Linked DNA regions of Caenorhabditis elegans. The protein of the gene in region 2 interacts with the protein of the main gene of each other region in a pairwise test. Each region holds a gene or a part of one and is shown on either strand. Other genes may lie near its edges.

The links. Proteins that work in one complex are often made in the same cells at the same time.
Region 1: the proteins of gex-4 (region 2) and C34G6.3 interact in a two-hybrid assay, tested with the Caenorhabditis elegans proteins (one large-scale study listed by BioGRID).
Region 3: the proteins of gex-4 (region 2) and gop-2 interact in a two-hybrid assay, tested with the Caenorhabditis elegans proteins (one large-scale study listed by BioGRID).

What each region holds. Positions count from the first base shown.
Region 1 is NC_003279.8:5,894,902-5,897,905, forward strand, and holds C34G6.3 (Non-histone chromosomal protein HMG-14), read left to right. Parts: upstream 1-1,716; 5' UTR 1,717-1,797; intron 1,798-1,956; 5' UTR 1,957-1,986; coding exon 1,987-2,244; intron 2,245-2,330; coding exon 2,331-2,438; 3' UTR 2,439-2,504; downstream 2,505-3,004. Other genes in the region: pgp-2 (ABC-type xenobiotic transporter), read left to right, coding at 1-17, 65-268, 315-461, 529-735.
Region 2 is NC_003281.10:12,216,235-12,220,236, reverse strand, and holds gex-4 (GPN-loop GTPase 3), read left to right. Parts: upstream 1-1,602; 5' UTR 1,603-1,608; coding exon 1,609-1,653; intron 1,654-1,717; coding exon 1,718-1,826; intron 1,827-1,880; coding exon 1,881-1,968; intron 1,969-2,760; coding exon 2,761-3,337; 3' UTR 3,338-3,458; downstream 3,459-4,002. Other genes in the region: gphr-1 (Golgi pH regulator), read right to left, coding at 904-1,007, 1,061-1,177.
Region 3 is NC_003281.10:5,257,349-5,261,012, forward strand, and holds gop-2 (GPN-loop GTPase 1), read left to right. Parts: upstream 1-1,674; 5' UTR 1,675-1,684; coding exon 1,685-1,828; intron 1,829-1,875; coding exon 1,876-2,211; intron 2,212-2,373; coding exon 2,374-2,650; intron 2,651-2,693; coding exon 2,694-2,854; intron 2,855-2,896; coding exon 2,897-3,046; 3' UTR 3,047-3,164; downstream 3,165-3,664. Other genes in the region: gop-1 (Protein CLEC16A homolog), read left to right, coding at 1-57, 105-227, 275-404, 460-710, 760-840, 1,007-1,291; SAM50-like protein gop-3, read left to right, coding at 3,360-3,485, 3,568-3,664. UniProt on the Caenorhabditis elegans protein: Small GTPase required for proper nuclear import of RNA polymerase II (RNAPII). May act at an RNAP assembly step prior to nuclear import.

The sequences.
Region 1 (3,004 bases), on a different chromosome or scaffold from region 2:
AAGATAAAGGAATGATTGTGAGTCAATTTTCTTTCTGATTGGTTTTAACTGCAAACAATTTTAGATGATTGATGGTGATAACATCCGTAACCTAAACATCAGTTCACTTCGCGAACAAGTATGTATTGTAAGTCAAGAGCCAACGTTGTTTGATTGCACAATTGGAGAAAATATTTGCTACGGAACAAATCGAAATGTTACATATCAAGAAATTGTTGAAGCTGCCAAAATGGCAAATATTCACAATTTCATTCTAGGATTGCCAGATGTAGGGTGATATTTTCATAAATCAGAACTCATTCTAAAAATTTCAGGGTTATGATACTCATGTCGGAGAGAAAGGAACTCAACTTTCGGGTGGTCAAAAACAAAGAATTGCCATTGCACGGGCACTTGTTCGATCTCCTTCTGTTTTACTTTTGGATGAAGCAACTAGTGCATTAGATACGGAAAGTGAAAAGGTTTGTATGAAAAATATTGAAATAGCAAATTGACTTTGAAGAATATCGTTTTATTCACTGTTTACAGATTGTACAAGAAGCATTGGACGCCGCAAAACAAGGTCGCACGTGTCTTGTCATTGCTCATCGGTTGAGCACAATTCAAAATAGTGACGTCATTGCGATCGTCAGTGAGGGTAAAATTGTGGAAAAGGGAACACATGACGAGTTGATAAGGAAGAGTGAAATATATCAGAAATTCTGTGAAACGCAGAGGATTGTCGAAAGTCAATAATTTAAATATGTATTAGATTCTCAAACACGAGTTTACAAACTAATTTGCATGGAGTTTCATTTTTTTAATGTTCAATTGAAACAGCTTGATATTTAAAATTTAAATATGCTCATCAAGTAAAATTTTTAGAAAATTTTGTAAACCCGTAATAATTTTTTTGTCATCTAGGTACTTTGCTTTTTCCCCAAATAGCCTTTCCCTCCATCTTGTGTATTTTGTGTGAAATTCTTTGAATTGTGATAATTATCTTTGAATTGTGATAATTGTCTTTTTGTTTTCTTTTTTAAATATATTATTTACCATTTTCACTGCATAAATATTTTTATTTGAAAAAAAACTACTCATCATTCAATATGTAGAATCTAAAATAGGATTTCTTTAGACTATTATATTTTTAATTTAACTTTTTTACTGTAGTTTCATTACACCTATTTCAATTTAAGATCAATGAAACATCCAATCTAAATTTGACGAAGATTGATAAAAGAATCTCTAGAAGATCAAAAATTGGAAATGCTGTGAAAAATTGTAAGGCTGAACAAAATACACGCTCTTTGAATTGGAGGGCATTCGAAGGAAAGTGCTACAGTGTTTGAAAATTTATTTTAAAAGCAATAATAGACCATAAAAATCGAAGGTAACATTGTTTTCATCGACGACTTCCAAACAAGTGGCAAAAAGTGAGATTTTTCCAATTTTCAAAAATTCATATAAACTTTAGAATTTTTTTTTGAATGTTATCACTATTATTTTTTATTAAGTTACAGGAGTTTGATATGAAGTCACGACGTTTTGCTAATAGTAAGAAGGCAAGTGATGAGAAAAGTGAGAAGTGCCTTTCACGACTCAACCGTATGAAATGTATTAATCGGCCCCATAGAAAATATATTTCTCTAAAAATACAATAACATTTTTAATTTAAAAATAACGTGTAACATGTGTTCTACGTGTTCTACAAAAAATATCTGATAGTCATCATCCAGAAAAAAAAATTTCCTTCATCTCAATCCACATCACAATCATTAATTGTTATTTCTGATCAGCTCTCTTCTGGTTGAAAAAGTGAGTTTACTCTTTAGAAACGTGCGATTTCAGACAGCTTGAAATTGGCTTGATGCTCTGCTTAATGTTTTGTTTCAACAAAACAATTGATTTCTTTCGGCAAATCGGAAGTCACATATTTTTGCTGCTTAACAACTGATATCAACGGACCATTTTCAGACTTTCGATTCATCGAAGTAAAACAAAGAAATGACGACTGGAAAGAGTAAAAACACGAAGAAAGACTGTGCTGACAAGAAGAAAACTTCGAAAACGAAGAAGAAGACTTCAAATTTGTCGGTTTCAAGATCCCAAACTTCTGTGGATATGAATGAGAAGGACAAGGCAAAGGAGGCAAAGGAGTTGAAAGAGAAGAAGGCAAAAGAAGAAGCCGAGAAGAAGGTTGTTGCCACACCGAAGAAAGATGCCTCGAAGGATCATGCAAAGAAGGAGGATGATCCTAATAAGGTAACAGTTACGATTTTGAAGTTGATTAGGAAAACACACTGCTAAAAATTTCTTTTGGAAAAAGTTGAGAATATGAACAATTTCAGCAAAACGAGCCAAGTGGAATGGATGTTCTTGTGAAGGAGGACGGCAAGAAGACAAAGATGGACGATGGATACGAGGATTTTGGTCCAGGAGCTGGTGCTGCTCAATGAGCAACTGTCCGAGAAACTGAATCGAAAGGGAACAATTCAATATTGTATTGTAATAAAAGTTTTTTTAAAGTTCGGTGTTTGTGGTTGCAAGTATCTGATTTTGAAGCAAGACATTACACGGGGCCACCCGCCAGGGCTGTTCAGCAACCGGGAATTGTAAGAACAAATGTTGCATTAAAAATCTGCTGGAAGGGCACGAGGAAGAGTAGTGAAAAATACTTGTGAAATATTGTTCGCCACTTGCAAAATGCATCCAAAATATTCGCTAAGTATTTTACAAACGGCATGCGCAGTCTCATTTGGTTTTCAGTTTTTTCCCAAGTGTTTCAGAAAGAGAACACCAGGTCAGTTCCTCGTCCAATTCTTTGTCATTCGGAAATTAATGACATCATCAACTTCTTATCACTATTATCAAAAGAAGAAAAAGAGATCAGCGAATTTCACAGAAAACAACGAAAAATAAAAAAGAAGAGATGAAGGTAAAAGACAAAAAACTGTTACAAAAAAATGAAAAAGGGACGGAGAATCGCCTCGTCTTCATTTTAACTTCATCAGTTTGCCCTGAA
Region 2 (4,002 bases):
TGACAATTGCCTTGGGAAAGTCGTGTACTCCACGCGGACTACAATCGAGCCGCGACGCGACACGCAACGCGCCGTAAATCTACCCCAGATATGGCCTGGCCTAGTTCGGCAAAAACTCTTCCATTTCAAGTCATGAGGGAAGCCAGAAATCCGTGAAATTTTCCCTGAAAAAATGCTAAAAATCGAAAAATTTTCCGAATACTCCCCTGTTCCACAGCCGAATTCGCTCAGTCCACTGGAGCGCACTTGCTATTTTTGCTTTTTTTTGCGCACTAAAACTTTTTCGCTGGTTTTTTAAAAGAAAAGTGGAAAAATAGAGCTCAAAAATTGGGAGAACCGTGTTTTTTTTTCAAAATTTGCTCCGATTTCTGGCTTCTCCTATAAATTGAAATGGAAGAGTTTGTCGAACTAGGCCATTTTGGCTCGGTCATATCTGGGGTAGATTTACGGCGCGGTGCGGCTCGATTGTAGAAATAAATGTATTTGTCCGTGTGGAGTACACGACTTTCCCATGCGTTGTCCGGCGATTGTCAATGGAGCGTGAAAAATTCAATGAGGAAGGCCAAAATCCCGTGATTTGCAAAATTAGCAGCGCCGCACAGAAAAAGAGGCGGAGCGTAATTTTGCAATCCTGTGGCACGGTTTTTTCCTTCTTTTTTGTTGATTTTTTTCCAATAAAATTAAGGTTTTACTTGTTTTTTTTTTCATTTTTTTCCGAATCGGAAAAATGAGAAAAAGCCGTGCCGCAGGGTTGCAAAATTACGCTCCGCCTCTATTTCTGTGCGTCGCCGATTTTTTTTTGTTTTTAGAGGAAATTTTTACTTTAAATAGGCCATAAATCGGTATTCTTTAGCATTTTTCGTTTAAAAAATTCAAGAAAAAGTTTCTGTAGAGCTTCCTTACAGCGGGGCCATCACACCAGCGATTTCAAAGATAATCAGCTCGAATAAACTGCAGGAGAACGCAAATGTCAGGGAGAATATGAACTGGACAATTCTGTTGTGTACCTGAATGAAAAATTTGAGAAAAAACTATTTAAAAAATGAAAAATGTTCAAAACCTCGTAATTTTTAAATAGCTGTTTTGTGTAGAAAAGCCAGCCGGTAGCGAAGAAAAGAATAAGGGAACCGAGCATTACGTTGGCATCTTTTGTGTCCACATCTGTTAATCCGTCCATTTTTTTGCTAAAAAATCGCTCTGAAATGTGCCAAAAATGGATAAAAAAGCAAATTGACACGCTACTGAATGAGGAATGGGCTACTCCGTGGAAAACCTGACTGTCAGAGTTACAACGTAAACAGACAAAATATTATGAGAATAATAGTTTTCTATAATTAAAATATTCATTATTATTATCAAACTATTGAACATTTTTGTTTTATAAAAGAAATTCGATTGAAAATCTAAAATGTTTTGGGAAATCCACTTCCCCCGAAACACTAGTGACTCTGTGCAATGCAAACCTGCTCCATCGAACAATGGGTTTTCTTCAATTTTTAATATTTTTTCGACGTGTTTTTTATTGATTTTTGGCGAATATCCACATTTTCAAGTGTTTTTTTTGCAATTTTTTTTGAAAATTATTCAAAATTAATATTTCAGCACAAAATGAAGTACGCGCAACTTGTCATGGGACCTGCTGGCAGTGGAAAAGTGAGATTTTTCGAAATTTTCTCGCTGAAAAATTGTAAAATTTTATATAAAAATCCAATTTCAGTCAACCTACTGTTCAGTAATGTATAATCATTGCCTAAGCACCGGGAGAACATTGCGAATGGTGAATTTGGATCCGGCATGTGAAGTTTTTAATTACCCAGCTGTTGTTGGTGGGATTTTTTTTTTCGAAAAAATTGGACTAACAATAAGAATATTTTTTTCAGATGTTCGCGATTTGATCAGTGTCAATGATGTTCAGGAGGACGAGGAGTTGATTTTGGGACCTAATGGAGCTCTGGTGTTTTGCATGGAGTAAACTTTAGGCTTAAATTTAGGTTTAGGCTTAAGCTTAGGCTTAGGCTTAGGCTCAGGCTCAGGCTCAGGCTTTTCAGATACCTTGTCTAAAACCTAGAAGGCAAAATTAGATTTTTTCGGTTTTTTCTGCAAAATTTGAATTTTTTGGTAAAAATGTATTTTTTTTTGGCAAAATTGGATTTTTTTCGGTTTTTTTTTAAATTAAAAATTGATTTTTTTTCGGTTTTTTCAGCAAAAATGAAAGTTTTCCGATTTTTTTCAGCAAAATTGGATTTTTTTCGGTTTTTTTTTCGGCAAAACTGGAATTTTTTCGGTTTTTTTTAGTAAAAATTGATTTTTTTTTCGATTTTTTTTCAGCAAGATTGGAATTTTTTGGCAAAAATTGATTTTTTTCGGTTTTTTTCAACAAAATTGGAATTTTTTCGGTTTTTTTGTTGGTAAAAATGGTTTTTTTTTGTTTTTTCTTTCAACAAAAATGGAATTTTTTCGGTTTTTTTTTCAGCAAAATTGGAATTTTTTCTGTTTTTTCAGCAAAATTGGCCGAAACCTAAGCTTAAAAACCGAAAAAATACCAATTTTGCTGAAAAAAACCGAAAAAATTCCAATTTTGCTGAAAAAAAACCGAAAAAAATCAATTTTACTTTAAAAAAACCGAAAAAATTCCAATTTTGCTGAAAAAAATCGAAAAAAAAAATTTTACTAAGGCTTAGGCTTAGGCTTAGGCTTAGGCGTATGCCTAGAATTCGGAAAAAAATGGAAAAATAATTCTAAAAACATTTTCTTTTCCAGATACCTTGTCCAAAATCTCGAATGGCTCCACGACGAGCTTGACGAAGGAGAAGACGACTATTTCGTGATCGATTGCCCGGGACAGATCGAACTCTACTCGCATCTTCCAGTTATGCGTCAGATCGTCGATGCTCTCAAATCATGGGACTTTAACGTGTGCTCCGTCTTCCTAATCGACACGAATTTCGTTTTAGACGCCGAGAAATTCATCTCCGGAGCTCTTACAGCGCTCTCTGCAATGGTTGCAATTGAGACCCCAGCGATAAATGTTCTAACGAAGATGGATCTGTTATCGGAGAGAAATAAGCAACTGGTCGACGAATTTCTCGAGACAGATACCCGCTCAATTGTAGATCAAGACGAGACTGTCTGGAATTCGAAGCATCGGAAGCTGACGCGAACTATTGCTCAGGTGCTCGAGGATTATTCGATTGTGAAGTTTGTTCCGTTGAATTGTGAAGATGAGGAGAGTATTGATCAGCTTTTACTGACAATTGACACTACAATTCAATATGGAGAAGACTTGGAGGTGAAGGATCATTATCCAGAGGAGCTTGATCCGGAGCAGCAGGAGTAGTGGTCGGAAATTTGGAAAAATTTTCGCACTGAAAAATGATTTTTTTTCGTTGATTTGTTACTACTTACTTTTTTTTGTTTTATTCTGCCTTTTCTTCCCCGTTGATTAAAATTTGTTAAACACTTTTTTTCCCCGATTCTATATAATTTGTTGGTTCGTAAAATCCATTTAATTCCTGCTAAAAATTGAATTTTTTCAGGCATTTTTCAGGCTTTTTCCCATGTCGATTTACGGAGGATTTCGTACTACACGTGGACAATTTTGCCGAAATTTTTGCTGATTTTTTTGTGAAGAAAAACATAAGAAAACACACAATTTTCTTCCAAAAAACCAGAAAAATCGGAAAAAACGAAAATTTTCATTTTTTTCAAAAAAAAAACAACGAAATTATTGATTTTAGATTAAAAACGATATATTAAAAACGATTAGCAATTTTCAGTGTAAAATTTGAAAAAAATTTAAAAAATGCTCCAAAAACCAGAATTTTAGCTACAAAAAATGCAAAAAAAATATAAAAATAGCTCAGACTTGTCCACGTGTAGTACAGGATTCTCCGTAAATCGACATGCATAAAAACCGCGCCGCAAGATTGCAAAATCTTCGGCGCGGCACGGTTTTTCCCATGTCGATTTACGAAGAATTTTGTACTCCTCGTGGACAAGTGC
Region 3 (3,664 bases), 7.0 Mb from region 2:
GTTAATGGAGAGAATCTGTTTTTGGAGTGGTTTGAGGATGAATATGCAGAATTTGAAGTAAGCCAAGAGGTCCGAAAATAATTTAATTCATCCTTTTTATTCAGGTGAATCACGTGAATTTCGATATAATCGGTCACGAAATGCTTCTTCCTCCAGCTGCAACTCCTCTTTCGAATCTGCTACTTCATAAGCGATTGCCCAGTGGATTTGAAGAACGAATAAGAACTGTAGGAAACTTTTTAAATTTGAAAATTAATTATATATATATTTGCAGCAAATCGTATTCTACCTACATATTCGAAAATTGGAACGAGATTTGACCGGTGAAGGAGACACAGAATTACCTGTGAGAGTGTTGAATTCTGATCAGGAACCAGTTGCCATCGGTGATTGTATTAATTTACGTGAGTTCATCTGCATAGAAAACACCATATTTCTACTCAAATTAACAATTTTCAGATAATTCGGATCTTCTATCCTGCACTGTGGTTCCTCAACAACTATGTTCTCTTGGAAAACCTGGTGATCGTCTTGCTCGATTCCTTGTCACTGATAGACTTCAATTAATTCTTGTCGAACCGGATTCTCGAAAAGCCGGATGGGCAATTGTTCGATTCGTAGGACTTCTTCAAGATACAACAATTAATGGAGATTCTACGGATTCGAAAGTTTTGCATGTTGTGGTGGAAGGGCAACCCTCGAGAATTAAGGTAAGAATACTAACGGGAAAAAAAAATCAAAAAATTACTTCTGTTTCAGAAAAGACATCCGGTTTTAACTGCAAAGTTCATATTCGATGATCACATTCGGTGTATGGCAGCAAAGCAACGGCTCACCAAGGTAACGGAAAAAATAACCAAAAAGACGGAAAGTTATTGTAAATGGACGAAATCGGCGAAATTAATTGAAAACGTTTGAATTTGCCGCTAAAACCAAACGAAAACCAAACGAAAGCGAAATTTAACTATCCCTTCAGGTAGAATATACATTTTATTTCTCTTTATAGGGTCGCCAAACAGCACGTGGTCTGAAACTTCAGGCGATATGTTCAGCTCTTGGAGTTCCACGTATCGATCCAGCGACAATGACGTCATCACCACGAATGAATCCATTCAGAATTGTGAAAGGATGCGCACCGGGAAGTGTACGAAAAACTGTTTCCACATCATCATCGTCAAGCCAAGGACGTCCCGGACATTATTCTGCAAATCTTAGATCAGCATCTAGAAATGCAGGAATGATACCAGATGATCCAACTCAACCGAGTAGTTCTTCGGAAAGAAGATCCTAGGGATCAATATCTCTTCAGTTTCATCATTTTATGCTGTAAATTGTATTTAAGTATTCCTATTCTTTGTAGTACTGTATTTACACATCGTCTAGTTAAAATCACAAATCTCCGAAAAAACAAACCAGTGAACATGTGATATTTCTCTTGCCCATAGTTCTCTTTTTTTTTTGAAACAAAAACAATTACTTTTATGCTCACCTATTCGAGCCATATTTTTTTCCCAATTACCGGTTGTTTATTTTAATTTCTTTTTTTTTTCTGTAAATCTACTTTATTTTTAAAACTGCATTTGAGATTGTGTATATTTTTTCAAAATGGTTCAAATGCCGAATCTATCTACTTTTTAATCATTATTCAAACAGAAAAACCGATTATTTATTCAGATTCTCAAAAATGGCTGAAAAAGCTGAAAATCTTCCATCTTCTTCGGCCGAAGCTTCAGAAGAGCCATCACCTCAAACTGGACCAAATGTGAATCAAAAACCATCGATTTTGGTTCTTGGAATGGCTGGTTCTGGAAAAACGACATTTGTTCAGGTAACTTTCATTCAATTTTGAGAGTTTTCAAACATTACTATTTTCAGCGTCTCACAGCATTCCTACATGCTCGTAAAACACCTCCATATGTGATTAATCTGGATCCGGCAGTTAGCAAAGTACCTTATCCAGTGAATGTTGACATTCGAGATACTGTGAAATACAAGGAAGTTATGAAAGAATTCGGAATGGGACCAAATGGAGCAATTATGACATGTCTTAACCTGATGTGTACTCGTTTTGATAAAGTAATTGAGTTGATTAATAAGAGATCTTCTGATTTCTCAGTTTGTCTTCTTGATACTCCTGGACAAATTGAAGCATTCACTTGGAGTGCTAGTGGATCTATTATCACTGATTCATTGGCAAGTAGCCATCCCACGGTAAGGGATTTTGATTTATGAAATCTGCTTGAAATGAAAAAAGATTCTAATAAATTTTTGACTTTTAAACATTTTTTACAGTTATATTTGGTCTATTTTCTATCATTAAAAGCAAAATGAAAAGTCGATTCTACTCCATATTTATTAATTTCGACTTTTCAGGTGGTAATGTACATTGTGGATTCCGCTCGTGCCACAAATCCAACTACATTCATGTCCAATATGCTCTACGCATGTTCCATTCTCTACCGTACCAAACTTCCATTCATTGTCGTTTTCAACAAAGCTGATATTGTCAAACCAACATTTGCACTCAAATGGATGCAAGATTTCGAAAGATTTGATGAAGCTTTAGAGGATGCCAGAAGCAGTTATATGAATGATTTGAGTCGTTCATTGAGTCTCGTTCTTGATGAATTCTATTGCGGACTGAAAACAGGTTTTTATTCGAAATAAAACCTTTTTTAAATAATAAATTTCAGTTTGCGTCAGTTCTGCAACTGGAGAAGGATTCGAAGATGTAATGACAGCAATCGATGAAAGTGTTGAAGCATACAAAAAAGAATATGTTCCAATGTATGAAAAAGTGTTGGCTGAGAAAAAACTATTGGATGAGGAGGAGAGAAAGAAAAGAGATGAAGAGGTAATTGTAGTAATTTAATTCTGATTATCTTCAAATTTTCAGACTCTGAAAGGAAAAGCTGTTCACGACCTGAACAAAGTCGCCAATCCCGACGAATTTCTGGAGTCGGAGTTGAATTCAAAAATCGATAGAATTCATTTGGGCGGAGTCGATGAAGAGAATGAGGAGGATGCTGAACTCGAAAGATCCTGATTTTCTTTTTGTTTTTGAATTTTTATTCTATTTTGATCCCTGTTTACTTCTTATTGTTCTCATTTTGTTGCGTTGTTTTACATTTTACTCATTTTTGCATAAACTTGTTGCAAAAATCAATATAATTTTTGATCTGGAAATGGTTTTAAACCTTAACCTTTCATATATTAATAATTTTTTTTCAAAAAAACGTTCTAAAAAGGTTCCTCATTTTTTCAATATAGGAAATTTTGAAGATCTTTTCCAAAAATGAGGTTCTTCGCTTGAAAAGCCAACATTTAAAACCTTTTTTTTTCCAGAAACCTAGTGGTTAATGTCTGAAAAGACGTTCCACAAGGCACAGACCATCCGTGCAAAGGCATCCGGAGTGCCTTCAATCGTCGAAGCTGTACAGTTTCATGGAGTTCGCATCACAAAAAACGATGCTTTGGTTAAGGAGGTACTACCCAAATTTCAAAATGTTGCACAATTCAATTGAAAATATAAATTGTGAATTAAATTCAACTTACATGTTTTTTCAGGTTTCCGAATTATACAGAAGTAAAAATCTAGATGAACTTGTTCATAACTCTCATCTGGCGGCTCGTCATCTTCAAGAAGTTGGATTAATGGATAATG